4 linked regions of the Styela clava genome follow. The protein of the gene in region 2 binds, or shares a complex with, the protein of the main gene of each other region. Links are inferred from orthologs where the notes say so. Each region holds a gene or a part of one and is shown on either strand. Other genes may lie near its edges. The genes, in order: DNA-directed RNA polymerases I and III subunit RPAC1-like; nucleolar transcription factor 1-like; DNA-directed RNA polymerases I, II, and III subunit RPABC4-like; DNA-directed RNA polymerase I subunit RPA2-like.

What was found.
Region 1: nucleolar transcription factor 1-like (region 2) and DNA-directed RNA polymerases I and III subunit RPAC1-like share a complex: the UniProt entries of both Homo sapiens proteins name them as parts of the pol I pre-initiation complex. The link is inferred for Styela clava from reciprocal best matches to the Homo sapiens genes UBTF and POLR1C.
Region 3: nucleolar transcription factor 1-like (region 2) and DNA-directed RNA polymerases I, II, and III subunit RPABC4-like share a complex: the UniProt entries of both Homo sapiens proteins name them as parts of the pol I pre-initiation complex. The link is inferred for Styela clava from reciprocal best matches to the Homo sapiens genes UBTF and POLR2K.
Region 4: nucleolar transcription factor 1-like (region 2) and DNA-directed RNA polymerase I subunit RPA2-like share a complex: the UniProt entries of both Homo sapiens proteins name them as parts of the pol I pre-initiation complex. The link is inferred for Styela clava from reciprocal best matches to the Homo sapiens genes UBTF and POLR1B.

What each region holds. Positions count from the first base shown.
Region 1 is NC_135263.1:3,694,820-3,703,428, forward strand, and holds the start of DNA-directed RNA polymerases I and III subunit RPAC1-like, read right to left. Parts: upstream 3,172-8,609; 5' UTR 3,140-3,171; coding exon 2,823-3,139; intron 60-2,822; coding exon 1-59. Other genes in the region: ribosome biogenesis protein NSA2 homolog, read right to left, coding at 3,989-4,771; uncharacterized protein LOC120341273, read right to left, coding at 7,933-7,988, 8,470-8,609. UniProt on the Homo sapiens protein: DNA-dependent RNA polymerase catalyzes the transcription of DNA into RNA using the four ribonucleoside triphosphates as substrates.
Region 2 is NC_135255.1:6,648,906-6,656,961, reverse strand, and holds the start of nucleolar transcription factor 1-like, read left to right. Parts: upstream 1-4,708; 5' UTR 4,709-5,112; intron 5,113-5,870; 5' UTR 5,871-5,917; coding exon 5,918-5,948; intron 5,949-6,271; coding exon 6,272-6,330; intron 6,331-6,513; coding exon 6,514-6,639; intron 6,640-7,300; coding exon 7,301-7,357; intron 7,358-8,056. UniProt on the Homo sapiens protein: Recognizes the ribosomal RNA gene promoter and activates transcription mediated by RNA polymerase I (Pol I) through cooperative interactions with the transcription factor SL1/TIF-IB complex.
Region 3 is NC_135255.1:11,192,732-11,199,064, reverse strand, and holds DNA-directed RNA polymerases I, II, and III subunit RPABC4-like, read left to right. Parts: upstream 1-4,585; 5' UTR 4,586-4,655; coding exon 4,656-4,773; intron 4,774-4,990; coding exon 4,991-5,083; intron 5,084-5,152; coding exon 5,153-5,175; 3' UTR 5,176-5,418; downstream 5,419-6,333. UniProt on the Homo sapiens protein: DNA-dependent RNA polymerase catalyzes the transcription of DNA into RNA using the four ribonucleoside triphosphates as substrates.
Region 4 is NC_135261.1:7,951,153-7,959,455, reverse strand, and holds the start of DNA-directed RNA polymerase I subunit RPA2-like, read right to left. Parts: upstream 3,216-8,303; 5' UTR 3,206-3,215; coding exon 1-3,205. UniProt on the Homo sapiens protein: Catalytic core component of RNA polymerase I (Pol I), a DNA-dependent RNA polymerase which synthesizes ribosomal RNA precursors using the four ribonucleoside triphosphates as substrates.

The sequences.
Region 1 (8,609 bases), on a different chromosome or scaffold from region 2:
CTCCTTCTGCTCTGTATTCAAATAACCTTGGATCGACCTTCAGAGGAATAAGGCCGAGTCTAGGAAATAAGAAATCAGTGTTGAGAAGGATAGATTACTTGGCTCAACCCGAGTTTCAAATTACCATTTTTCAAGACTAAAAGTCGAGTTATCTAAATGTGATGACGACTTAATATAAAGATTGATTATACTGGAGAATCGGATCAAATAACCAATGACTCAACTTGACTTGTAACTCTGAGTTTAGGGATTTCTATTCAATACTAATTGTGATATGTATATTTCATGAGCGAGATTTTAAACATTCCACATTTTTCGAGTATTATTCTAGTATCACTGTCTGAAATAAATGGGCAAAACATGTTACAAAGAAATCGACTCAAATTGGAAAAATTATAAAGCAACTGGAGGATTGAAGCGGTGTGATAACGATATGAACACCTTTGGTGTTTGCCCATATAAGAGTTCACAGATTCAAATCCAGATGGTAATGGTTATGTCCCAGTAAATGGGAGTACTACATTTAACTGTGTGATATTACTTTTTCTTAATTTGTGTGCAATTGATATTCACTAGTTGCAAAAATAATTATTCAGCTTTCCTCTCTACTTAATAAAGTAAATGCAAGATTGAAACGCTGTGATAACGATAGTAACACACTTGATATTTATCATGATAGGAGTTCGTAGATTCAAATCTAGACAATCATGGTCAGGGGCGCAGCCAGGATTTTTTCAAGGGGGGGGTTATGGTGAAATAAATACGCGTTTATAGGTCTTTAAAAAGATTTTCCGACGATGGCAAAACAACATGTGCGTCGCTGTGTCTCATTAGCCTTTCTTTGCATGTCCTACTTTCAGCAATCGCCGACCATTCTCTTTGGTCAAAAAAAATCAATCAACTTTTCATTTCAATGCGCCGTTAACTTTATTACTGAAAGTGAATTCGTCGCAAATTCAAATTCCTGTGATATTTGCACATAACGCTTCTCTACTTTTAGCGGCGATTTATCAACATATTATTACCAGTTTGTTAATAATGCATGCTATTACTTTTGGCAACAGGGTTAAATTGGTTTATCGTTGTTTCAAGCAAGAAAATAAGCATTTGTTTTTTTCGCTTATTCAGCAATCGTAATTCAAATATTTCCCTATGCGAAAGAAAGTCTTCACTCCGCGGGGTGTCATTGCGTTTTAGAGTTTCAAAGTGATGCCGAAAATGCCGATGATAGAGAAACACCGACACATGTGGCTATTTGTCGCCAGACCCTGCCCCCTTTGACAGGCGTCAATTCGTTTATTTTGTTTTGGCATGTCCCATTTCAACCTTTTAGTAATCGCCGATTATTACCCCATTGTCAACAGTTAAATAAAATGCCATCGTCATGATTTTAATTGAAATACCACAAAAAATGTAAAATAAGAATAGAATGAAATATTAGCAATCATGAAACATTAAGAAATAGCATAAATTAATGATATTTGCCAAATGCCAATGGTTCGTAAACTATTTTTGAGTGCGTCACGAAATATCAATCCATTTCCAAAATAAATATATTTGATGTTCCCGTATTTATAACTTCATAAAACGATTACAATCATTTAAAAACAAGCTCATGTATCGTACTGATTGGGAACGTCTTTCAATGTAAAACTCTTGCTTGTTGCAATTAACTGTTAATAAATTCTAATTTTTATTGCAATGCATCGAGACCTATATTACTGAAAGTGAAATCGTCGCGAATTTGAAATCCCGCGCCCGTGATAGCTGCATTCTGCGCATAGCGCTTCTTCACTTTCAGCGATAATTTAACTATAATAATTTAATTATAATTTAATAACATATTGTTACCAGTTTATTGAAAAGATCTGGAAGACAACGCATGTAACTGCTTTTCGCAGACAGACGATTCCAAACGAGTCTTGGACGAGTTTGCTACCCAAAAATCTCGAAGATTGAACATTATTCTTTAAAAAAAAATTTCCCGAAGATTGAACATTATATTACGATACTTTTTACTCGAAGATTGAACATTATTTTGCAATGCTTTGTTTTCGAGGATTGAATATTATTTTATGACACCTTTTTTCGATGCTGCCACATTTGGCAATCCTTTGTTAATGAACCATACATTTCCAATAATCCATTTTGTCTGTTATTTGCTTATGATCCTGGTGCCATCGCTTGTTAAAGATGCACTACATAACTAAAATTCGTAATTAGCGATAAGCCGATAACCATTGATAACGTATGTGATTAAAAGTATGGATGCGTTGAATGTGGCGAGGCGAGAGCGCGCTTGTGGAATAGTTTTGACGGCAATAGTGTGATACGTCCGTTGCTATTTGTGTCAAGTGAAAGGTAGTACAATTGTATCTAAAAATGTTTAGTGTAGATTGTCACTTCCGTGACCCCCCGCTGGCAACTAGATCCACTGCCGCGTAACAGCGAATACGAATCGTAAACATAAATAATAAATTAGGACGCTGGGCGAAAGTGATAACGCAAAGAATAAAATTATTGCAAGTAAACGTAACACTATTAAAAAAAAAAAAAGATTCCAAAGGGGGGGTTACGACCCATGTAACCTCCCCCCTGGCTGCGCCCCTGATCATGGTTATGACAAGTACCTAGGTAGGTGTACTTTCTCTTTATCTTGTAATTTGTGTGAAATCGAGTTTAAATGGCTAGAAAAATTAAACATAAATTGTACTTCTGAACTCAAGGTAGTGGTTAAAATAATTTTATCAACTTTCCTCTTCTCATTGATAAATGTGAAAAATCCCTTTTTAATTCAAAGTCATTAAAAATTCATGAATTACCTATGAGCAAGCACTTCATCCTGTATTATACTGGTGTTGTTGTAAATAAACGCTTTCTCGAACGCCATCGTTGGGACTTCAGCCAGGAGAATCCTTCGAAATGCATTCGCTATGGCAGCGTCAATCCCAATCATATCAAAAGTCATTTCATCTTCGTCACATTTCAAAATATTAATCCGAAAGTTTTTCATGAACTTTTCGCGGCTCCATGCGTCATCGTAGCCGACGTAACTCCCTGGGAAATCAGTTGTGTGGACATTTAATACTCCATGTTCCCCCATGGTGACTCTAGTCCGCATATCGTCAATGTGAGCCATGGTTATTTATAGCTATAGCAAGTATCTACAATCTAATTTAAATGAAAGCAGATTGCAGTTGATAATGTTAAGGCAACAAGTCAGTCAAAAAAGTATTGAGTTTTGAAATATCTCACAAACTTTTGGCAGAATGGTAACAGAAAATAATTCAATTTGAGTTCAAAAATACTGTGAATAAACTTGGCGAATACCCTCGCATATAGGCTGAGTTCGAAACTCAAAAAACAAAATATTTGCCAAACTAAGATGTCGGTTCATAGCGCATAACTCCTATACATGCACTCAAACGAATTCACATTATGCTAACTTAATTCCAACAGCTGCAACTCAAATTTGCTGTCGCAGGAGGAACTACAGCGTGTTATGATATGTAGGGTCAGCTTATATGTGAATTTTTATAAATTCACCTTTTAGGGGGGGGGGGGGGGGGGGGGGGGTCGATTTGTATGTACGATCGGCTTATATGCGAGAATATACGCATTCAAAAATAATATACCACTGATTGTAGAACAAGGTAAATGAAACAACAAAACAGATCAAAATATAGCAGAGAGAGGAGAATACGCAGAAATCCCAGCAACAGAATAAGATTAACAGTAATCACCCAAAATATGTCTCTACACTTTTTGCTGTCTAAAAGTTTTGATCAAAAAACAAAATATCTGCCAGCAAAATTGAAGAGTCAGTATAAAGACTGGATAATTGGTCCCAACTGCTACTTAAATGACCTACCTGAAAAAAGACTTCTGGGTTTGACTGGGTCTTCTGGGTCGTACTGGAGTATGATTTTATTTGATGATTATCCCACATACCACACCAAGGATAATTTTTTTTTCTCTACGACAATATCTAGACCAGTAATACTGCGTTTATGCAGCCATCGTTTTCAGGATTATTTGTAACCTGGGCGTATTTTCCCCAGATTACTTTCCCCCCTTGTGTTACCAATCCCAGTTCGCTCACATTAACTTCTATGACTGTTCCTTTTGTGATTACTCCAAGAGATGTGTACATAGCAGATGACGGATTCTTTTTTACTCCGATGACTGGTAAACAAAATGTAGCCTTCAGCTCAGGATGAGTGACATGTGCTTTTTTGAACCTAAGCGCCATTGGTCTGATGAATCTTTCGTATTTCGGCGGTTTTCTTGTAAAGTTATCAGGAACATAACAAACTTTTGTGCACATTCGTTTCCATGCTTTTTTCTTTCTTTTCCCTGTTGTAATTGTTCTGAAGACTTCCGCTTCGCTTTGTGCTCGTACTTTCGGGAGCGGAACAGACCATTTTCCCGCTTTTTCTTTACGTTTTTGCTTAATCATGTTAGATAAGACTTTTCCACGACTTTGGCTCTCTCTGTCGAGCAGATAAGCAGGAATAGCTCCCTCTGGTGTCTTTTCATCATCTTTCTGCTTGGTGTCCCGTTTTTCATGCATTTTGATCGTCTTTTTCATCATTATTTTTTCATTGCGTCTCTGTTTGTTGTACATCTTCGCTTTCAGTCCAATCAGTTTCTTTGCTTTAATCGCTCGTGTGTGAGCTTCCCTCCCTTCTTTCTTTCGTTTTCTTTCATGATAGTCGAGACGATAACCATGTCGCTTCCGATGAAGCTCAATATGCTCGTTCTGTGGCATTTTGCTGTGGTGATTGGAGTCAAATTATTGAGTTTAAAATAATTTCTGAAAAATAGGTTCGTTTTTATAATTTTATTACACTAAAGCAAATAATCAAAGAGTTGAAAATCAAAGCAGCCTTAGTGACATTACAAAAGTAATAATAACTAATATGTCCTAAAGACAAGCACAAAATAGAGAATGGTTCAGACAGTGTTAGTACGGTAATTATAAAAGCTGAAAACTAACACATTTAAACCGAGATATTATCAAGACAAGCAGAGCACATCCTGTTGCATCTGCCAACGCGCCAGACACTCTCGCCTCAGAGACAATAAGTATACCAACAATCGCCCAATCTGCGCTGACGATAAAGGACTCATTAACAGCAGCGATCTCTCTCATATCAAGATCATTACACTGAGGAAACGAGATGAATAGCATTCTCAGTTTGGGTGATCGTCTGCACACCTTAGATGACAGTTTGTATAGTTTGAAGGGCCTTATTACATCACTGTAACGTCGTAGTGACATAATTTTCGGATGACGCAGTCGGGTGGGCTAGGTTTGACATATGCAAAAATTGTTACCAAAGTTACGCCCACTAGAAGTACTTGAGGTACGAAACTACACTGGACCTCATAACTGTACAAAAGACAATCCTTAAGAATCAGCCAGTTTGCCTTTTGAAATGAATCTTAAAAATTCAATGATCCAAACAATTCAGTAATTATAAAAAAGTGAGAGAAAGACACATACGGTACTGTATTGGTTGAACTGTTTTAAACTGCTGAACTCAGAACCTGCTTATGTCTGTAAGGTACCGTACGGTACCGTATGCAGGTATGGGTTACTCCATTACCGGTATAAAGTCCACGCATCTGAAACAAATAACTGGCTAACTAATATCATACCACTGTACCAGGTCATACGATACGGTACACGGCATGGACTGGTAACCGGACGAGAGGTTGTAGTTCATCACATTAATAGGCTGTCTTATCGACTTTCCTCTTCTCGGGATAAATATGAAAATCTTATCATATCCTATCCAACAGCCAGACAATCCCATCTTCCTGTCTTCTGGAATTCTACTTTCAGACTTCACATGCTAACCAGTTTACTACAGTGAGCGGGCAAAAAGCTAAACTCGCTGTAAAAATATATGAATCACAATAAAGTCTGCCCACTCAAGTTTAAGATGAGATCACTTTCCTCGTTCTGTCGTTGCCAAATTTATGATAAACAGACATTTTAGAGAAAGAAAACCTCGCTACTCATGTAACGAGCGAAATTAGAAGACTTGATTTCGATGCCGAGAAAACGAGAGAATTAGAAAAGTAGTATTACGTCAGATGCGGCATGTTATTTGAGAGAATAATAAAAACAGCGGTTCAGAAATGGATTCATCATTAGCTCACCTGCGACTTTTGTGGCACTTACTGAATCGCCTAACTTACTGATCCGAGAGCAGAAACGAATTTTGAAAGGTTTGTACATATTGCCTGATGCTGTTACATTTGGAAAGCTATGAATATACGCTAATTGTTGCCAAACTTGCCGCCGCTTTTCTGTTGTTTTGGAGCCAAACAACACCCACCCGAACGACCCCCTCACTAAAGCGCAAACCAGCAATACTCGTGACGAAGATTTTTCTCACAATGAAAGTTTTTTCAAGGTTTCTAAACGGTACTCCCACAGTGTGTGTACCAAGTTAGGCCATAATTTCATTCTGATTTTCCTTATAGGACACGTTTAGTGGACATAACGATCGTTTCAATATTATGTTGTAATTGTTATTTGTCTCCATCATTTTTAAAAAATCGCTTTTCTCTTCGAATACTGGACCAATTGCTTTGAAATTTTCAGTTAAAGATAAAAATTTTCTCCAGAAGGCTATTACTTTTTTTTCGCTATGACTTCATCAAAATTATTGCCATTGGGTGGCGCTACGTGTCCATATATTTGAGCATAGCTCTCTTGTTTTAGTTTTATTGAGATTTCGGGGACTGTCTATTTTAGCCCATAGGTTTCATTCCTTTTACAGTTTACACAACTTGATGTAAAGTAGGCGAACAAAATTAGTTACCACCATATTGGTACACATACTTCTGGAGCGCCTTCTTAACTACATTTCCAAGAGAGTCTTCCTGGCCAATAAGTCACTACAACCCCCAAAATGTATCACAGTGCAATATATATTTGCATTAAGATACTTCACAGCAGTTTTGCTAAAAAAAAACTAAAACAGTGATAGAAAAGATCTCACAAGGTTATATAAATCAAAGACGATGTGGTCGTTACAAATATTACGTTAATCAGAAACCAACGAATATAGACATGAATTTTTCTATTCACAGTTCATGATCACAAAACTCCAGAAAAAAATAAAGCATAATATATGCCACTAAGTAGCCTACTGTACAAGCAAAACGAACAGTTGAACACATTTGCATATCAGCAGTGAACAACAAAGTTACGTTACAAAGACCGTTTTATATATATAAACAATTTGAAGTAAGAATCGGTTGATCGAAGATCTGCATGTATTAGTACATGTCGCAGTAAGAATCGGTTGATCGAAGATCTGCATGTATTAGTACATGTTGCAATCAGTGGTGAGATTCAATTTTTTTGTCAGCCGGTTCCATCACAGAAGTCATATTTTCACCCGGTTCTGTTACAACAAGTCATTGACAGTAACCAGCAATGCTAACCTGTTCGCTGATCTCATAAAACTTCGTGAGACGGTTCTGTAGAACCGGTTCAAACCGGCTGAATCCCACCACTGGTTGCAATGTATAAGCCACTCACAAGTCTGTTAGTAATACATAAACAGAATAGGGGCGTAGCAAGGAATTTACAAAAGAAGGGGGAGGGGGGTCTGAAAATTCTAAATGCGAAGTCAGACCGTAACATCTAGCGGATCCGGGTCTTGAGTGTCCAAAAGGCGTTACAAGCTAAGAAAAAGCACTATGTATGATAGAAAAAAATGCTTTTTTCACATTTCAGAAAGAAAGGGGGGTACGACCCGCAACTCCACCTGGGTACGACCGTGATACAGAACAAAGGGTCATTCAAGGTCATTTTTGATTCTTGACAACTAGGCTAGTTTCTGATCAATTCTTTCATATCTCGTCTTCGTTAAAATTTGTGTTTCAACGTTCATCCCCTGAGTATAATTAAACGTGCGTCTTCTCTTCAACATCTTCTTCATTATTTTTCAGAGTTTCTTTTTCTTCGATATGAAAAATTATAAAAGAAATATTATAATGAGTAAGGTGACCTACTTTTAAGAATATTTTCATACGCACATAACTGCGAACAAGTCTTTTGCGATGTCATACCCTAAAAGACCAAAAGCTACAGATCTGACGACACATATCATATATTTCAATATGAAATTCAGAAAATTCAGAAACTAGGAGACATCGGCGTAGCCGGAAATTTTCGAATGAAGAGGGGGGTTCTGAAATTTCTAATTGCAAAGTCAGACCATAACAGCTAACGGATCCAAGTGAGTTTTCAAGAGTCTCGAGGGTCTAAAAGCGTTCCACGCTAAGAAAAATTGCTATGTATTATACAGAAAAATGCTTTATCCTATTTTAAAATAGGGACCCCGAGTCTACCCCCCTGCTAGAAGTTACGTGGAAGCTATATAACCTAATTAGAACTAGAAATGGCAAAAAAAATACATTTCGTCACACTGCAGGTCATACCTTCATTTAAACTGCTATCTTCCTTGTTTATGACATCAGAATCGTCTTTGTTACGTGTACAAAAAGAAAATATTCCGAATAATACTGAAACACACAAACTCATGGCACCAAATAACAAGAACATTTTATCTCCCCCGAAC
Region 2 (8,056 bases):
CATCACGCAATATACCACCTCCACCACCAGGGTTAGCTGGAATTCAGCCTGCTAATAATTTGAGGGGTTGGCCATCAAGTAACCCCCACAACCTATCAGGTAAGTGCTAGTTTTATCAGATCTTCGTTTTTGTCTATTGTCTATATACTTGTGACTGTTTCATCACAATGCTTTGAAATTATTGAAAGTGGGAGGAAATGATGACTTTGATAAGCAAGACAAAAATGAGTTTGAAATAAAGAGTGAGTAATGATAATGAGTTTGAAAAACTTCCCTATTTGGCAATATGAGAAATACTTGTGCGGAAGGTCGCCCTGTTAATTAGAAAGAAAATTGGATAATAAGAGGTAGACCAAATAACCAATCGTGATGTTATTCGGCAGTTGCCTATTGCCCTTGATGGGCTCTCACTGAACAACTTTCAGGTCAGCTGTCTGTTTGATTGAGGCTTGCAGAATTGGATTCAAGATTTTTTTCAACCTAAAAATAGCAGCTGACCTTTTTTGCAACAAAATCTCTTGTATCCACTACAGGGTGACCCAAAAAAAAAAACCCATCAATTTATGAAAATGAAGAAATTTTTAATACTTTTCTGATGATGTATGATTGTGCCCAAAAGTTTCAGCAGTTGATGATGTTTCGCACAAAAGTTATGTTCTCTCTAAAACAGGGGTTGGTTGATTACGGTCCATCGAAGTGTTTCATCCGGTCTGCTGAAATTATGACAATAGTTTTTATGGATATAAATTTCCGTTGAAAATATTGATAAAAATAAAGTCATGATGATCCCGATTGTTACATTGTGCTTCTTATTGTTATATGAGCGTCATTACGTCAGCTTAGCTGATGGACTGGTTGTTGTAAATAAGCTCTTTTTTTATTCATAGTTTTTTGTATTGAGTTTAGAGCTTCTAGCCCAGTAACCAAGTCTATCATCGGTACCTGGCCCACTCAAAAAAGAAATTGCCCACTCCTGCTCTAGAATATGTTCCAAATGACCTTGTACTTACTGTTTTATTTGGGTGACCCTGATCATGTCCCATTCCAAATACTTACACATTTTTAGAACTTCTCATTTGTATATTACAGACAGCATGCCTATTAAAAGTACAAATGATTGGGAAGCAATATTTGGATTCAAATCATCTGCAAAAGAAGTTCTTCCATCAGCAGATGACGATCTAGGATTCGATCCATGGGTTGAATGTAGCAAAGGGTTGGCTGATTTGATGGAAAAAGAAAAGACGCAAGAGACTGGAGCTGTTCATATTAACAATGTAAGAAGAAATGTGCAAGAACTTGGATTTGTATTTTTATGATTTAGATTTATAATTTAGATTTTAAATTTTTCAATTAATGATCCACTTTTCAAAAAAAATTATGATTTATGCTCATATTTGGCAAATTGGAAAGAACTGCTGATCGGATTCTTAGAGCAGCAATTTTTCAGAATTACTAATTTTTGCCTATTTTAGCCCAGTAGCAAATGAGGCATTAAACTAATTGAAAAATTATAGGCACTCGACAAATTACTGAATAACACAACATCATACTGAAAATAAGAATCAGTATCAAGAACATTCTTTTAACTTCCTACTACGTGGTTGTGTGTCTATAACCTTGTGCAAACTCCAAAGACGAATGAAATCGAATTGAAAAAATCGGAATGAATCGAAAAATAGAATTGAAATTATGTTCAATATTTAAAATTTTTGATATTCTGAATAATATATCCTAGTTAAAATTCGAAAAATGATCATTTTTAGCAACGAATATTTCACAGTATAAATGAGTATAAATAAGTAAGTATAAATTTTTTAAATTTATATTTGATACATTTTACTAATTACATACTATTTCAGAATGTATTTAGAATAGAAGATCATTCGTTTTTGGCCACCCATGGACTAACCATAAAAAAGTTCATTTTCGTCAATTTAAATCTAATAAACTAAAGTTGTTTTCTTGTTTATAGATTCCATATTCAACCAATACCTTTCCATTTAATTCAAACCCAACGTTTTCCGATATATCTGCAACACAAAGAAGACCAACATCTTTACATAATCCCAACCATTCGGGTGTACATCAGGTAAAATGTTTTTTTTTTTTTCGAATCTCGTTTTTCGATCTAGAAGCATATTTGAAGCTTGATATACATTTTTGTTTTATTCATTTTATAGGCTGGATTTCCTGGCGGGAATGATCTCATTAATGGATTTTCCAATCTTATGATGCATGGAACATCCCAGCATTCTCAACAGCACAAAATGCCTTTCCAATACGATAATTTACAACAACGTCAGTTCGAGCAAAATCGATACAATCAACAACAAAAAGTTTCCAATCCCTTCCAACAAATCGATCCATCAGATAAGAACAATTTTTGGGATCTGCGAACTATCAAAAGCAGGGTTTTATAAACCATGGGGGCCCACCTACTCCGAACAAAGATCAAATGAATAAAAATCCTGCAAATATTACAGATTGGCAAAATGGACTAAGGGCTTTGCTGCCGAGCGTAAATATCAATTTTGCAACTCAAGGACAAATTCAGAGACCTAACTCAAGGCCTGTCGATAATTCCTCTTTAGGTTTATCCAGCTTAGGTATGCCAGCAGAACATAACAAACATATTAATATTCCTCACCCACCAGGGATTTCAAGCTCTGGTATGAATCCCCATCCCCCTTTCAACAAATCTAATATCATGCCCCCACCTGGGGTGGGTTTTCCTGGCAGGTCATCTTCTTTTATGCCATCAAGACAGCAATGGGGTGGCCCTGAATCTTCCATGTCCACACCTGGAATGTCCTCGAACAGACTTGTTAGCCCTGCTAGTTTGCAGTCCTTATTTGCTGGTGGAAACCGCTCTGAATCTAATCCTATGCCTGGTGGTACAATGCCATCCTACCCACCCGATCCTGCCATAATTCAAGGAGGCGTGCCAGGTTACGGACCCACAATGAGGCGTAATAGACTATTTGAAAATCCACAAAACAAATCTTCGCACAATAATAACGAGGATCAGCCACATTGGATGAAATCGCTGCAAGCTTTAACTGAGCCCGACAGTCCAATCCACCCTATCCCACCTTCGAATAACTCTAATATGAACCAACTTTTTTCACAGCGCCCAACAAACAGTGGTATGCCCTCGTGGCCTGGGATGCCTGGCTTATTTTCTAATTCAGGTTTTGTGCCTTCACAGCCACCTCCTGGATTTCAAGTCAGGCCTTCTCTATCAAAACCCACAGAGTTTGGTATGATTCACAGCTTATTGGAAAATCAGTCATAGGGTTGGATTTCTTTTGAACGATATTATCAAATAAAGTAATTTATATATTTGTTGGAATTTCTCTTACCATAATTCAAATAAATGCGGTTTGTTTTTTCGATCCGATCACTGATCTCTGACAAAAATGGTACACATGGTAAAATGGACAACACAATATTTGAAAAATTGTTGCAATTTTAATTTCTTGAAAACGTGATAAAAAAAATGTGGATGATTTCCACTGGTATTCTTGTGGCTTGGTGAATTTTGGTAGTCGTGACAATTTTATCGTAAATATTCAGAACATTGAAGAGCACTTTCTGGTGACTTCTGGTTTCATTTAAGTGTTACTTCTTTTTCTTGGCCAAACTTGATGGTGCTGGCATGATGTTCTTATTTGTCTGTTTTCCGCTTTATTTCAACTCAATGGTCAATAAAGATATGGATTTTTTCGCTTTTTATATGCTATTTTGTTTTGATTTGTGACTGATGTTCTTGGGCTCATGATGTGAAAGACTATTTACTTATTGGCTTGGTAGGTACTTTTTATTAATTAGGTTGCAGTCCGTGATAACTATCAGATATTGTCTAACATCGACTTTTCACAGACCTCCAATTTTATAAATTGCAGCTAGTGCTAGAACTTCAATTGAAGTTTAACCATCTGGTATATTTTGCTATGGTTTATGTGGCAGAAACGTCCCTGGGATTTTCGTTACGTAACCGCTGGTCGGTTACGGCTTCCTCCACCACTAAGTCCATGCTTCCGAAAGCAAACAATATAACTAATCCCATACCAGACTTGGAATGGTAACCGGACGAGAGGCCGTGGTTCGCCATATGGATGAGCCGTCTTAGCGGCTTTCCTCTCCCCCGGGATAAATATGTAAATCCTAACCTTAGAAGCTATGATCAAATTATGCATGGACTTTATGCATACTTACATATTTTGCCACTCCATATTACTTTTACTCATTATACCGTTAGTTTGATTCATAAAGCCCAAAGTAGGTGCTTTTAGTCTTCCGAGTGCGTTCAAAGCCAGTTTCAGTATTATGTTAATTATGGTTTATACGTGGGCAGATAAAAATTATAATCGTTGGCTATACCATGTCTGGTACGTATCCTACTAGGCTGAAGAAGACTCATTTTCAGAAATTGTGTGCGACCTGTTCAGACCCCCAAGACCCTAACAAAATGAAGACAGTCCGAGGGCTTCAGTTAACCCAAAAAGCCGAAACTGCAGGTTTGTAACAATTGCTTTGAGGAAAACACATATTTATGACTTGAAACATCTGCAACTTGAAATACTCAAATGAATACGGCTTCAAACTATGATTATAAAGGCAGCTTTTGCGCTTTATTTCAAAATTCCAACATTCTCCCTTTTGTTTTGAATTCCAAGAGTCGCTGCCGCCGAAGAAAGTCGATGTTTTCGGCGACTCGCAGTGCTTTTTTCGGCTGATGTCTCTCGAAATGCCGAGATAGATACACCGGGAAAAATACAGACAAGCGGCCTGAAATCGAGCGTTCTGATTGGGCGTCGCTATCGATTTGCGTGAGCCCGTCTGTCTGGCGTGGCGTATTGCAGTTTCAAAGCGTTAGTACAGAATTACGAGGAGGGCGTGTGCAACCAGTTCAGATCGCACGATAGTTTGAGCTCACAGAATCAAATTAGCAGACGATTAAAAACGACCACTGGAATTCGGAAATACAGCAATAAACTAGGCCACGGTACTTCTGTCGACATCAAATATAAAAGACAACCCAGACCAGAAGACTGCAGCGACTCGTAAAACTGCAAAAACACGCACGATATCGGCGAAAAACTGAAGGTAAGATGCGTTTTCATCATGCATTAGTACTAATAAAGTTTACTCAGACATCGCGACTTTAAAAGTAAGGTACTGGTATGTGTTTTACAATGAATGTACCCTTGTGAGATAAATTTTGAACAACATCTTGCTAACTGAACTGGTCAATTCGTGGTCTCGTTAAACGAGATAGCGAGGTAAACTTTGCAATCGAGGTCCGCCATATTTCTCTCGCGTTTCGCAGAGAAAGAAGGCATTTTCATCATAGTTCATTTCAACCATCAGAGCGCGAAATTTCAATCATGGTAAGCGCGAGACCACCCTATTAGAAAAATACATGGTGTCCGAAAAATTTCCCGCGAATTTATAGTAATAGCAATTAATTTTTTTTGTTTTTGACTTCATAAAATAAAATTTTTAATTCTAACTCACAATTGTTATTACTATAAAATCCGGTGAAATTCTTAATTGTTTTTACTCAGTTACTATAAAATCCGGCGAAATATTTTGGACACCCTGTATAATATATAATTTATCAACTTTCACATTAAAGCATCCCAATTTCCAAGTACAAAATAATCCTTTTTCAATCTTAATCATTGTTGTAAACTTCACATGTATTCTTGTAACATGCTATAACCTCAATGGTATAAATAACGCTAACCATGTTCGTTCCAAATCCAATTGGTTGCTCATTTTTCATGCAAATTATCCATTTGACTGTTTTAAATAATTCAGAACTATGAGTGCAAGTGTCTAATAATGTTTTTATTTTTTAGAGCATTTGTCAACATTGGGAACTTCAGATTGATATTCTGATTTGAATATGAAAGGGGCAACTAAAAACAATTGTATTGGTAAATCAACATATTGTTATCAACTCAAATCATGTCTTGTGTAGTTTCGTACCGCATGTACTTCTAGTAGACGCGGCATAACAATTTTTGCACATGTCAATCCTAACCCCTACCTGACTTCGCCATCCAAATATTATGTCTCTTTTTAAATGAGGATGGATGTTGAAACTTCAAAGTAATCTGTAAAGTAAAATATTACAAATGAATAGGTGATCTTTAAACTACTGTTAAATCATAGTTTGAAGGAATGTTGAAGTATTTCAATAAAAACTTACAGAAATTTAAAATTCATGGAAATGACATTAATATTTACAATTTTGCAGGGAGTGAGGATGGATGGACAGATGCCACAACAAAAGAACTTTTAAATAAAATGAAGCAGGTATATTAGGAGATATTATAGTAGATCAATTTTTTTATTGATAAATGAAAAATTATTATTTATATGTTTAATAAAATTCATTGGATGCCATGAACAGATCCATCACATTTTCAGTTATCAACTAATATATATCAATGCCAATTTGCTGTAATCATGAATCTTCAATTAAGTTTCTTATTTTAGGCTATTCCGAATCCAGATGTTTCTAAATATAAAACGATGTTAGAAAAATTTGAATGGGACAAAGTAAAGATGGGTCGTTTCTCAGCTGAAGATTGTAAGAAACAATGGTTCAGAGTTTATAAGAAGGTTTGTTCAAGTATAATTCTTGTTTTTGTATCTTTTTACCAAGTGCACAATTGGTCAGCATGATATGGTGGGAGGTATTTGTTGACACTGAATTCCACCACCCACATGGGTTTAGGAGCAGTTAAACCAGGGGTGTGCAACATGTGGCCCGCAGGCCCGAACCCAGCTCATCAAGCAGTTGGTGTGGCCCGTGTATTCGCCCCCCACTCATCAAGCATAAAATCCCAATCCCACAGTGCATGTTTAAAAAGACGTTCACATGGGTAAAAATATGTGTATTGATATTTGCTCTTGTCGCTGCCCTAAATCTTTCGCCGTTTTGCCCGGTGACTTTATTACTGGAAGGCTAAGCAATGGCCGTATTCTCTTTGCTTTCTGGTTGCAGCTAATTTTCCAATTCATTGTGTGCATAGAAAAACTTATTTGTTTATGTGGCTCAGCTAGATGTCTGAAGTTAGTTTTATGGCCCACCAAAGTAACTTTATCGCCTTTCCCTCTCGTGTGGGATAAATATTAAATATGCTATTACTACCTATCGCCACTGTTGAAAGTATGTTATATACACAGAACACAGTATCTGAGAATTTTCAGTTGCCTTGGACCTTGGTTTGTCTGGGATTGACTTGCTATTGTTAATATTTTATATTATTTTCACATTCAGCTGAGAAAGTTCAAAACTCTGTCAGACTTAATAGTGGATTCTCTCGATTATATTGAGGTAAGTAAAATAAAGTTGCCAATAAAACCTGAATACATGTCGTAGTTATGCTACACCCAATACGAAAAGTAATAAAATGCTTGCTTTTTAATTTATATAAGATGATTGATAAATTTACTGTTAACTTACTGTTTTTTAAACATTGTGTCGTGAAGTCTTCAGCGTTATATGTTGAGGTTGTTTACACAACAGTTATATATGTATTCACTCTGACTTAAGCTCTGAACAAGTATCTACAGATATGTACGATGCTACTGTTTCATATGGACCTGTGTTTATCTGGTGCAGCATTGTCAACCCAATTTATTATGCCCTCTCTAAGCTGGTGGGTATGGGACTTGAAACCAGATTTTTACCTACAGGTCAACGTGGTGAGTCTTACCCAGGGGTGGGCAAATTACGACTATAGTTTTTATGGATATAAATTTCCATTAAATATATAGATGAAAATAACGTCATAATGACCCCGATTGTTACATTGTGCTTATTATTATATACACGATAGCCTAGCTGTAGGGTGTTGGACTTCCTTTTGTAATTAAACTGTTTTTTTTTCATAATTTTTCATATTGAGTTCTGAGCCACCAGCCAAGTAACCAAGTCTATTATGTGTAACTGGCCCGCTCAGTAAAATTAATTGCCCACTCCTGCTCTAACCCCTAAGCCAAGAGTCGGCAACCTTTTGTCGCTCGCGGGCCG
Region 3 (6,333 bases), about 4.5 Mb from region 2:
GACTCAGCCCTTTGAACGTTTAAGTATTGACTTCAAGGGACCTCTTCCGTCGAACAATCGCAACAAATATTTTCTCTGCGTAATTGACGAGTTTTCACGATTTCCCTTTGCTATTCCAACACCTGATGTTTCGGCCGCCAGTGTCATAAAAAATCTAACTCCATTGTTCGCTGTATTTGGAATGCCTGCTTACATACATACTGATCGTGGTTCGGCTTTCATGAGTTGTGAGTTTAAAAGATTTTTGCAAGAAAAGGGTGTGTCTCACAGTAGAACAACTCCTTACAATCCTTCGGCGAATGGTCAAGTAGAAAGGTGCAATGGTACAATTTGGAAAGGAATAAAACTTGCTTTAATGTCAAAAGGTTTGCCAATTGAATGTTGGCAAGACGTTCTATTAGATGTTTTGCATTCCATCAGATCACTATTGTGTACTGCAACAAATGCAACACCACATGAACGGTTGTTCAATTTTGCAAGAAGATCTACCACAGGATATGCCGTTCCAACGTGGCTGACAAATTCTAAAATTGTTCTTCTCAAGAGACAGATTAGAAGAAACAAATCTGATCCATACGTCGATGAAGTGGAACTTCTAGATGCGAACAGACATTACGCTCATATTCGGTATTCAGATGGTAAAACCTCAACAGTATCAGCAAAGCATCTTGCACCGTGTGGTGATGGTACGTCGTTTGGAAGTGAAAATAATGGAAGTTCCTCCGATAATCAACATTCTCAATTACCTGTAAAGCAGGCTGATACAGCAGATTCCGACTATGTACCAAAAATATCGCATCCCGTTATCAACCAATCAGAAATTCAAGAAGGGGAAGAAAAGTCAAATATTCCTGGTGATGATGAAAAACGCGAAACATCCCCAATGAAGAAGATAGACACCCCGGCTCCTAGGCGTTCTACTAGAGAAAAACGTCCAATTGATCGTTTACATTACTATTAGTGAAATGTTTATTAAACTTTTGTTAAATAATCTTTTAGGAGGGGGAAATTGTGGTGTTAGTATTTCTTTACAGTGTAATTATCAGATAAACAATGTACTCTTGATTGCTCTGGTTCTGTCGTACTGCACACTTTACTGTTTGCGTGTTATTCTATTGTTTACAGTGTTAAGTTGTGGTAGTGGTGTTCTTATGTTTAATAAAGCCTAGAATCGGTATCCTGTTATAACAGGTGTGCATAGGTGGGATTCCAGAAAATGATTAGAATTGTTTGCAGAATAATAAATGACAGGACATGAAATATACATAAAACGATGGATTAATTTGGCAGGATATACCAAGAATAATATATACAAGTACACTATAATCTAATTGTAGGGCCAAAAGAGGCCAGTTACCAGCCATTGTAGCATGAACCGCAATTAAGGAGTGGAGGAATATATTTGAATGTAGCAAGTGAGTTTTATGATTGAAGAATAAAAAATTTATATAACAATTATATTAATGCAATTAAACAAGTTATGAATATCAATTTTAGACAAACCATGAATTATTGAATCGTCAAAAGTAAACTGGTTGTTATAATGAAATGGTATTGTGATTCACACTCAACAGTGCATGCTTTTTTAACTATAACATATGAGATTTAATATGAAATTCACAATATGAAATTTTGATTACACTCCACATCTAATTATTAAAATGAATTAGGAATACTGGATTGTATAATGAAATTCATTTAGGTTCTCACCTTCAGATTTACCCAGTTAGCCCAGGTCATTAACTACTGAAAAGCATAATAACCACATATTTAAAATTTACACATGTATGTGTACATCTCAGGAATGTCTAAGCCACTATGTAAATATATATGATGCCGTACATGAAGAGCATGTAGCAAGTATTGATAAATCTTGAACCCTGGTTTGGAAAAAAGAATAGAGTGAATAAATATCACAAAATGCTACAAAAATGTATCCTACATAATTCCAAGATCTAGCTAGGTTTCAAAACATATTGACTTGCAATTTGTTAGCCATATAGTTGGACTATACCATGACACATACAGGGTGGCCCAAAAGTAGGTATACAGTTATTAAATTAATAACTATGAACTATCAGGCACTAGTCATATGTGTAAATCCACTAAACCAATACATGGAGAACAAGTTAAAATAAGCATATTAGACACATGTCCACATCAGTATCCCATCGAAATTGGAGGACTTAAACTTTGCATTTAATATTTGGATATGATGTATTTCATGAACTCAAATTTAAATTTTTTGTACGAGAATGTTTTTAGAATGTCTGGGATATCATTCCAAATTTTAGGGCCTATGAATTTGTTCGTGAAATAAAAAATGCTCCCTTAGAAGCGGAACGAGTACCATAAGAATGCACAGAACTACATTCACTAAAATACAAGTCAAAGGCCTCTGGCAACATACTATGCCTGAATTGAAACATTAATTTAGCAATTTCATAGATATAAACATCATTCAATTTTAGGAGGTTCATACGCTTGTAAACGGGGCTCATACTATGATGCAATGGAGTATTGGTCATAACCCGAAGAGCTCTATTTTGTAATACAGTTATAGCATTAAGTCTAGTTTTATCAGCGGAACCCCATGCCACAATTTCATACTGTAAGTGCGAATAAAAGAGAGAAAAGTAAACAGTTCGCATGATTTTTTAGGAATTGAATTTTTTATCCTTGTCATTATTCCTACAGACCTAGATAGTTTCAATTTCAGGGAGTTGATGTGTCGGTCCCATTTAAGCTTGTTATCTATGAATATTCCAAGGTATTTAACTGCGTCATGCACGTTTAGTCTAACACCACTTAGAGTAAAATCAGGACAATGTGGATACTTGATATTTTTATTATAGGGATGATTTATTAGTAGTACCTGTGTTTTCTCAGGATTTATAGTTAACTTATTAGATTTCATCCAATTAGAAATATTTTGTAAGTTTATTTTGACTAGATTGGACAAATCAAAGATACTGGAAGATATTGACGTTATGTTTGTGTCATCAGCGAAAAGTTTGAATATTCCTGAACTACAATTTACTACATCATTTATATAAACAAGAAAAAGGGTTGGGCCGAGAACTGAGCCCTGGGGCACGCCAACAGAAACAAGTTCATGAGGTGATTCATTGGCAGAGACGGTGACAAATTGATTTCGACCGTGCAGGTAACTAGAAAATAGTTTACTCACAGTACCGCGGATCCCATAATGTTCCAACTGTGTCAAACGCCTTTTTTAAATCCAAAAATATACTACAGCCAACCAAACCCTTATCAACGATTTCATAATATTTACTAATTATATCTAAAATTGCATGTGTAGTCGAGTGATGATTTCGAAAGCCAAATTGATCGCTATTAATAATAGAGTGTTTATTAAGGAAATTTTGGAGGCGACTAAGCATCAACTTTTCGAAAACAATAGAGAGGCATGAAAGTATAGAGATGGGTCGATAATTGGATACATTATTTTTTTTTCCAGATTTATAAACGGGAACAACTCTGGCAACCTTAAGATGATCTGAAAATATACCAAAAGAAACAGAGTAATTGAAGAGTTTGCAGAGAACTGGACTAATTGTACTGCACAAAAGTTTCAGGAGATAAGCTGGAATATGGTCATACCCGGTTGCTTTGTTAGTTTTTAAAGAATTGATTATATTTACCACTTCATTCAATGAAGCATCTTCCATAAACATAGACAATTTGTTTGGAGCGCTCATGAATTTTAGATGCTCATTATCGCTCACATCGTGAAAAGCCAAAGACAACGTTTGCCCAATCTGTGAAAAATACCTATTGTACTCCAAGTCTGCAATTAATTTAACTCCTAGGAAGACAGAGTGATCATTGAATTATATGATTTTTTATTAAGTTTCCAAAACACAACTGAAAACTAACGAATAAACGCGAAAACGAGGTAATGTTAACAACTATGCTTGAAAATCTGTCTGAGTGAGAAAAGTGTCTGAGCGGATGCGAAAAGGGGGCATTGTTACGATTGGGAAACGCTGTTTTAGGGTCAAAGGTCGGTGAGCTGTAGGTACTCTCAAAGCAAAGTGACTATAAACTTTGCTTCAGTAATTCAGTTCAAAGTGAATATTATCACTTTCGGTGCCGATACCTTATGATGTGATCGCATCGTGTGTGCGATGTAGGCCAGATTCAGATTCAGATATTTATTTTCGTCATGCAAAAAACAATGCGCGATATGAAAAATGAATAAATAATATAATGTAACAAAATGTCAAATGGATATCGGCTTGTTGCAGTTGACGCGGAGTCGCGAAAAGACTCATAGAGTCATCTAGTCAGCGACACCTTGTAGCTGAAATTAAGCAGCAAATATAAGAAACGGGACACTCAATATTACACATTAACTTGATAAATTAACACGATCATACAAACAATGATACGGCGGTATCTATTTGTAGTCGATAATCAAGTCTTGTGGGGAATGTGTTTGAAATTATGAAACTGTTTAATTTGGTGCAACTTATACTACTGTACTAATTCGACTCTAAAATCTATTTACGAAATTTCCGTTTGGCATTGGAATTTATTTGGCGAGAAAAAGATAATCAAGTATCTTTTTATCACATTTCAGTTGTAGTCTATATACGGTACCGTATGTGGTATTGATTTGTTAAAAGAAAATGGACACACCATCAAGCTCCATAGCTGCCACACCATCAGGACGAACGCCAGGCAGGACCCCTGCACATGGTGAAGTTGTTCCCCATCAACCAAAAGCAATGATATATATTTGTGGAGGTGAACTAATTTTAACAAATTACAGCATTTTTGTATGTGACCATACTCATATCAGATAATTGTGTGTCTGCTTTTCGGTCAAGGCAACAGACATTCCAAACAATGTGGTGGGATCCAATAATTAGTTTCCCTTGGATGAATGACCATTTTAATCCAATGGCAATCTCAGAATCAAGGTTACCTTTCCACAACCTTTTGCTACTAAATTATTTTTTAGAATGTCATCAAGAAAATGAAATAAGGTCTCGTGATCCAATCCGATGTAGAGAATGCGGTTGCCGAATTATGTACAAGAAAAGAACAAAAAGAAGTAAGTGATATTGAATATCAAATATGATATTAAAGGCTCAATTTTATATTTTTTCATTATTTTGTTCAGTGGTGGTATTCGACTGCAGATGAGAAGTTTTGATGCACAACCATAATAACGTAAATCCATTGAAGATTTTTCTTGTGACAGTGAGGGGAAAAGACTTATAAATCGTTAACTTTCAAGACGTTTCTGTGATCTACCAAGTTCCCTGTTCCTTTGTAACTGGATTATTGTACTCCACTGCCTCACCACATGACTTTCTATTAAAAAATTTGTTCTCCAGAACATCAATAAACATTATATTGAATAAATGGCAAATGAACTTTTTTCTATTTTGACATGCAAGCTGTTTGAGATACATTGGCATCGTTAGACCTTTAGCATTCAATAGGACTTGTATGCAACTATGTTTTGAGAAATGTTCATACTTTGCATTATGGATATTCATTCAGTGGTTTGTAGCCAATATGCAAATGTTACCCCAGCGCAAGACGATGATGTATGGGTCTAGTGTAGGTTAGTACTACAAGTGCCTCTAGTGGGCTTGGCCAGTTTTGCATATGTTATTTCTAACCCCCACCGGACTACGTCATCCAAAAATTATAGCTTGCGCCGAAGTATAGCTAACGGCAACGATCTCTCTCATTTTGGGTTTGTTTGTTACGAGAAAATAGCTTGCTCGACTTCAGTTAATCGTCTGCGCGCTTTGGACAACCATCCGTATATTTTGGTGGGGTTCAGGAATGACCCCCCAAAAATGATTGACAAGTTCCAAATTATATTCTAAACATTTTGAGTAAGTTTGCGAAATGACTTGGCATTGCTGTAAGTACCATAACCCACTGGAACATATGTGTACATTTTTGTGTCCCTTGATTTAAGCTGTGACATGCATGTAGGACAATTTCATTGAAAACTCAATATAAGATCTTGGATGCTAATGCGTGTAAGCACAATTTCAAATTTGTAGTGCTACCTACTATTCATACAACCGCCTGTTGCTTTTAGTGCATTTTATTCACCATTAGTATTACAGTCAAGCTGGTATGAAATATAAGGTAGCTCTTAAATTTCTAAATCATTATCTAAACTAGTAAAAATTGTCTACTTGATTACTGTAATGGAGCATTTCATAAAAAGGAATGAAAACCAGATTTGTTCTGTTATTATAATGTACAGAATAGAAAAATATGACATATTCATTTCCTAGAGTCATTCTTCATGAAAGGAATATGCTGGGAATTGTT
Region 4 (8,303 bases), on a different chromosome or scaffold from region 2:
AAAGCCTGTCATAGTTTAATATAGCACAGCCATGTGCGGCCAATGCATCTCTCTCCATTTCACCAAACCTGATTCCGCCAGCACGTTTTCGGCCTTGTACAGGCTGTTGCGTCATTTGATCAACGGGGCCAGTTGTACGAACTTGAAATTTGTCAGATACCATATGTCTCAGTCTTTGATAATAAACAATTCCAATAAATATATCCGCTTCTAGTTCAAGGCCGGAAACGCCACTATACATTCTTTCAGTACCGTAATAATTGAACCCTGCTTTTCGTAAGGTTTTACCGAAATGGTCAATAGCTGAATCGTTTTCTGAAAATGAAAATGGTGTGGCATCATATGGTTCACCGTGCATAGCCGCTGCTTTTCCAGCCATAGATTCTATCATCATTCCGATTGTCATACGAGATGGAAATCCATGGGGATTGAATATGATATCAGGAAATAAACCAGATTCTGTAAAAGGAACGCTTTCAGCGGGCCAAAGTTGGGAACAGATACCTTTCTGGCCGTGACGACTTGCAAATTTATCTCCAATAATCGGGTTGCGTGTTATTCGTAAAATTATATACACCCTTTTGAACAATCCTGTTCCTATGTTATTGCTCAAAACCTTGATGTTATCAACATATGCTGTTTCTTGTCCTTTGTAAACTTGAAGATGAAATGTTTTAGTACCGGCATTCACGTAGCTGTAATAGGGATCTCCGTAAACAAGCTTTTGGCCAACTGCTGGTAAACCATCAGCTCCTAATTTTCCAGTCTTCACCAATTCCGCAGAAATTTTATCAGATGGCAAAGTTCCGAATGTAACTTTAACTGAAATGTCATTTACTATTTTAACCAAATCAATAAGATCACCTTTATAAATAGAACCATATGCAAAACCACGGTCAAAACTAGCTTTATTCAAGATCATGGCATCTTCCATATCAAATCCAGTATAACTGATGACAGCAACCACTGCATTCGTTCCAAAAGGAAAATTATCCATTTTAAAATGATCGTACATGTATGGTCGCACCATAGGCGATTGTGGAGTTTGAATTCTGTATAATTTATTATCAGCTCTGTAAGACAACGCTTGACATGGTGTTCCCATGGTCTGTTTACCCATCTGACATTGGTACATATTCCTGGGGGATTGATTGAAATCAGAATACGGTGTCATGCTCGCTACAGCACTAAGTGTAGAATTTTGAACAAGTTCCTGATGTGTTGTATGCTCATGTGCTTCTTCAGGAATGATACAAATATCCATGTATGGCTGTTCAAATGATCCGATCATTTCCACGTTTCCTGTCTCTAAATTCAACACTGGTCGGACCATACGTGCTACGTCTGTTAATAGGAAAAGAGCAGGAAATTGTGATATTTTCTCAGTTCTTTCAATCAGGCAAATTTCAAGGGTGTTCGGTATTTTATCTTCCCCATTTGATTTCTTAGTTCTCAAAATATCCGCTACGGGTTTCGCTAGTTTTTTTGATAGCCATCCCACTAAAAGCCCATCTAGTAAAACTGGGTAATAATTAGGACCTTTTACTTGACATGAATCTGGCCCTATCATACCAAAATTATATAGCATCGGTACAATAGCAGCATTTGATGTACGATTTGTCACCACTTCACACATGTACGCTAAATGATTCATTAAACCACAAGGAGACCCATCGGGAGTATGTACAGGACACAAAAAGCCCCATGATTCGGGGAGTAATTTTCTGACTTCAGTAGTTTGCATTTCCGCAAAAAACGATCCTCTATGTAAGCATCTAAAATGTGATATGTAGCGCATAAAATTGAGCTTGTCTGCAACGACAGCTAGTCCAGTGGTTTGCTGAAGACCCAAACCTGATTTTGTTGTGACGTTTCCAGTAGCGAGAAGGTAGGACATAGCATTGGATACTTCAGGTACAGATCTCATTGCTTTTTGTATTGCAGATGACGTTAGCATTGACAGACCTTGATTTTTACTCAGCTTAGATTGCTTTTCAATAAGCCTAGATAGAGTAAGAAGCCATAGAACCATTTTCTCACGCAAAACCATTTGATATAAATGGCCAGGTAAAAGCACCTCTTGGTTTTGGACCGAATCCAAATTATCTGGGACACATTTTTTCATAGCAAGATCGAATACTTTTTGAGCCATGTGACAAAGTAAATGAAACTTATCTTCATTGTTTTTCAAGTGAACAAGAACGTTGTGTTGCAATAAATACTTCGTTATTTCAGCGTCGGTTGTCCAAGGCGGCTGACTTAGTTTAATACGAAATTTTCCTCCAACGTACTTTGTGAAATCTTTATGCAAATGTAGATTAAGTGATTTTGCTTGTCGGAGCATATTTTGAATGCACGTTTTGAAATATGTGTCATCTTCCTTGGTTTTTGTTAGTTCTTTATATATTTCAACATCAGATTTATCAACGAGGCATTTAAGCATAAATATCAGTGGAATGTAGAACATTTCTTTGCGATGAAAAATACAAATGTTTACAGTGCCATTTCGCAAGTAGTGAACAACCATATTGGCAACATTCAAATCTGGAGACACGCTTCTCATCATAATGCCAAATTCTGTATAGTTCGGGCCTCTGTTTTTCCATGAATGTCTGACAACACCAAGAGGAAAGTTACGTCTTTGCATTACTAACATACGGAGAACTTTCTCGTTTCCATTCACAATAAAATATCCACCCATTTCTTCTGCTTCTTCTTGTTTTGCAACTAATTGTTTAGGAGTTAACCCACTCAAATTGCATGAATTTGATTTCACCATTATTGGAATAACACCAAGCATGACAGGAATATTCGCTTGTTTTATTCCATCAATAGAATACGAAAAGGTAGCGTGAAGTTTAGCGTGATATGTTGACCCACGCTGTCGACATTCTGATGGATATACAGCTAATGTTCGACAATTACGAAACCCTTCATCAACACGTGGTTTCTCGATAGTTGCATCCACGAATTGAACAGAGAAACGACGATTTTGGACAAGAGCTTGAATGGGAGGAATAAGTCTGGCCGAGTATTTGATACCAGTATTTAAAAACCAGTTGAAAGAATCGACATGAGGTCTGGTTAAAGCTTGTAAAGCCTCCGTTTGACTTTCTCCAAGTTTAGAAAAATCTTTCACAGTTAAATTCTTCAAAGATGGAGTGGTACTTGATGGAAGTTTGGATTCCAAACTTATTCTAGACATGATGTTAAATCTAATGATAAAAGATATAAATATTTTTGAAGTCTGATAAATTTTGGAACAATTCTAAACGACGCTACTAGCAGAAATCATTAGAGCATAAACAGTCAAATAAATTATAGGCCTAGTTAAGTTATATTTTAATGCAGTACCGGTATGGTCTGAATGTGGAACTGTACAGCCTGACAGCTCTACTATTTCTCGCTTCCTTGTTTCTCAAGTCAAATTTAAGACTAATCGTACTGACCCGACTAACCCCAGTTCAACCCAATTTTTCTAAATATCTGACCTATATTCGGTAATAAGTTTTGTCAGTTAGTGATCAACAGAATACAGTCAGTAGACTACTGCAGTATGCAGGTATGTGTGTGTGTGTTTTATTTAAATTAATACTTTTTTTTTTTTTTAAATGGATCCACAATGTGGATTATTCAATATGTAAATAATAAATAAATTAAATATAAATAAAGATATATTGTGTACCGCAAGTGAACAAACATATACCGTATATCAGTAATATCAAGATAATTCCATCAGATATAATATTCCATATAATCCAGGGACTTCCAATAATTCATTTGTTGGTTACCGGTACCGGTAATACTTTTGGGTGAGCGGGCACGTACAGACGTAACTTACCACTTCCTGACTTCTTTCGACAACACCTTTCAATCTAACATGTGTACGTTTAAAACCTTACTTATGGTTTTGTCCGCTTTAATGTCATCTGCAGCTTTTTTTTTTTTTTTTGCCAAATAAATTCCATTTTTTTTTTTTTTTTGCCAAATAAATTCCAATGCCAAACGGAATTTTCGTATATTAATTTTATTGTCGAATTAGTATAATTTGCACCCAATTAAAACAATTTCATAATTTCAAAACACATTGCCCACAAGTTCAATAATATATGTAACAATTAAAATATAAAACCATACCATTACCGGAGTTTTGTATCATATATAGTCCAATTTATATCCATTGAATATAGGTTTATCCATATTATCAGTCGTCATCCAATTCGTGCACACATTTTATATATAGTTACCAATAATTAATCGATTTAGTTAGTTTTTGCATGGAAATTAGAAAATTAGACAGAAAATCAGAAAACAGCCAAAGTGGGTTTTTTGGCATTTCTCTATTCACTATCTATGTATGAATTAAATCAAAATGATGCATAAATTTGGACATTGGAATCTTTTCATGTACTATCCATTTAAGTTGGTGTTGCATAGAAAATGTCAATGTCATGTCACATCATGATTGACCTATGTATGAGATCATCCATATGTTCATACAATAGTAAATCATTTCTTTCACTTGTTTTCATTAAATTTAAAACTCCTATCAGTTTACATTTGAATATTGAGCGCATACTGCTTTTACTTTTAACTATTTCATCATATTTTACTGAATTTCTATATTCCCAAATTGTTGATTTTCCGCATAATATTGTGATTAATTTAGATTTGCATTCCGAATCATTTGCTAAAATAGTAATTCGATTATTTTCTACGCAGCACCATTGCCAGAAATCAACAGCCCATTGACATTCCAAAAATAAATGACATAAAGTCTCTTCAATATTACATTCACACATAACACATATACCTGGTTCATTCATGAACCAGTGTTTTATTTTATCCCCTGTTGGCAGTCCATCTGCATCTGTCATCTGCAGCTACGTACTTCCCAACGACTTTTATCACAGAGGTAGGCTGCGATTTTCATGTCTCAGGTCAACATGCAGGATAGTTCGGCGTAGTTTATTTCGACTCCATCATTAGCACAACCATAACACGAAACAAAGTTATTGGCACAACAGACGATAAAATTGTTTATAAAAATAAATAAATGAAAACTGATTATAGAATAAGGAGAGCAAACAAAACCCAAAATGGGATTCATAGCGCACAGAATTTAAATTCGAAGTGCTACGTGTTCACTAACCTAAATATAGAAAATACCGTAGTACCGTAGTTGCATTTTAGTGACTTAAACTTAATCTAATGTTTATGATAAGTTCAATTATATTGATTGACGCATGTTAGGATAGAATAGGATTTACATATTTATCCCGGGGGAGAAGAAAGCCGATAAGACGGCTTATCCATATGGCGAACCACGGCCTCTCGTCCGGTTACCATTCCAAGTCGGGTATGGGATTAGTTTTACTGTATTGTTTGTTGGACTTGGTGGTGGAGGAAGCCGTAACCGACCAGCGGTTACGTGAACCACCCAACGACGGCGAGGAGTCCACCAATCCTCTCGCACATAACCATCCCTGCATGGGATTCGAACCTGCGAACCCACGCAGAGTAATTAGAGGTGCGGTGGCGAGCGTATTCCTAACGCTTAGCCCGTTGAGCCACACCGCCGCGCCATGTTCTTCCACTTGACTCTCATTTTTGAATATTGATCATTCATTGGTTCAATTATTTTCACATTGCTTTTAAAAAATAGCTCTGTAATGTTAAAAAGTAAACGACCCGTATTTTTCTTTCTTTTGTTTTGTGTTTCACTCCATTGTCCTCAAAATCGTCGTATTCTTCTATTTTTTGTATACCGGTAATTACAGACTTTTTTATCGCTTTTCTCCAAAATGTCAATAGAATGCTATTAGCGGTACTTCTTTTTATAATTCCTGAGCCATGTGACATCCAATATTTTACCCAAAATTGCAATCCATGGTAACAGTCAAGAATTCCGGTTTGGTTGACAGTTTATGTAGGGCGGCGGCAGTGATTTCCCTACCCCCCAAATTTCAACTCCGCTAAATATCAGGTGTGACACCTTACTTTAATTCTCAACGTAAATAAAAATGTATTTGAATATTTAGGAAGTGGCTTATATGCCGGTGAAGAGGATCAGTCAAATAAATATCTATCACCACCCAAATTTGGAACTCCCTCTCCTAAAATAAAAAGCGGGGAAACATACGAACATACTGAATACCGAAGCGGCGGTCAGCAAACTTGAAGTACTACTGGGCCAAATATACACATTACTGGTAGTATGCGTGGCGCATTAGTTTCCGCCTGTAAACAAACAATCACATAAAACTTTATTCCGCACCCGCAACTTCTATTCATGTGTTTAACGCATATCTCAAATCTCATTGAGACGTGTACGTGGCTGTTTTCTCGGTATCATCATTCAAAATTTATATTGCTTTTGTTTACCTCATTAGTGTGAAGGATTATGTTAATTCTGTGTGATGGCCAAAGTGTTAAAAAATCAACTGGCAACTTTGATGATATCCGCAGTACATATCGTAACTACGATGCTGGTGAAGCAGATAAGTTTTGAATAATGTTCAACAAAGAAATATTTTCCGTCCAAGCACTTTGCCCTCTTCGCAAACTTTTCTACGTTTTCCAGCCATTTTAATGCCAAATTTTGAATATCAAACTGAACTGAAGCGCTAATTACAACTACTTGTTAAAACGTTTGACTAGTGAACCTCACGAACTAACATGTGCTTTCACTTACCGTGTTTCCCCGAAAATAAGACTGGGCCTTACTTACAGTTTTCTTTTGAAAAATAACACTAGGGCTCATTTTGGGGGAATGTCTTATATTTTTATTTATCAAAATCGAAATTACAAAATTATATTTCCTTATAAATAACACGTTTTTATTCAAAAGAACCGCCAAACATAGATTATATCAAACGTGTTTGATTCATTCAAACCATTTGTGGGAGAGATTTCATGCTAACGACTAGGTCAAAAAAAATATTCGCGTTATTGAATAAGTCTTATTTTCAGGGTAGGTCTTAATTTCGGGGAAACACGTTACTTACACTACTTGCTACAAAAAAAAAGCCCGTACAACAACCATTGTTACGAAATAAATCAATTTTTGTGTTTATGCATTGAAATGAGTTCGTTTGTGGATTACAAAGAATTTGTTCCCTGTCCGCAGTTTTTTTCTTCAAAACGAATAGTCATGGTGAGAGATGTATCCGTAACCGACCAGCAGTGATATGAGCCAAACTACAAAAGCAAGGCCAGCAATCCTCCGACACTTAACACATGGGATGCGAACAGGATATGGCAATCAGGGAGACTGATAGCACGCCCTTTCCCGAGTACAATGCACCGGTCGTCGAAGCGTGATTTAGTAAGCTGCAAAATATATTCAATTCCATGGCATATCTTTGATATCCGTCCACTAAAAAAATTTATTGTTGTGAATAAATTTAACTATGTATTTATTTTGGCATCGGTGTAAATTTTTTAAAGAAAATACAAACCTAATAATTGGTTTTGACATTCGAATCATTGTCCTAAAAATTTCTGACGGAACAATATACAATAGTAAAAATTCGAATGTAGACCGACTATGAATAGACAAACGAATATTTATGGATTTTGGTATCAACTATGTAATTAAAGTTCTCGAAAGGTTCGTTATCAGCAGTATTCCCTATTTTTACAAATTATCTGATTGAACATTTGAGTACCTTTTTTTCAAATTAAGATTGTTTGCATGTAATTAGTTATTCCACTTTTACTATATATATATGATAAATTATTCGGATTTACCCATTTCGATCAGACACTAACACAAATTTTATATGGGGATTAACATTTGAGTGCCATATCGTTTGTTATGGAAGGATGTTTTGAAGATTTTTTAATTAAATGAGGTTTTGGATAATGCTCATACACAGATCGGCGCTCGCCGTTACGTCTTTTGACTGGGTTAGTGTCTTTTTCCATTTGATTACATTTACTTATCGGCTTTCTCTCCACGCACGTATCTCATTTGTCATTGAAAAGAATTGATAAAAGCGTATAACATTCTTGCGCGCTCCAGAAGTGTGTGTACCAATGTAGAGGTAACTAATTTTGTTCGCTTACTTTACAATAAGTTGTGTAAAGGAACGGTGCCTATGGGTAGGGGGACGGGGTATACGGTTTCACCTGGCTGACCCAGACAATTCCCGAACTCGTAATATAACTGAAATAAAAATAAAATCGGAATAAATTTATGGCCTGATCTTAACCTACACATCCTACGGGAGTACCCAATCTTGATATAACATATTGTCATGGTTATACATAGGAAAATATTTTCCAGTCTGTAGTCCAGA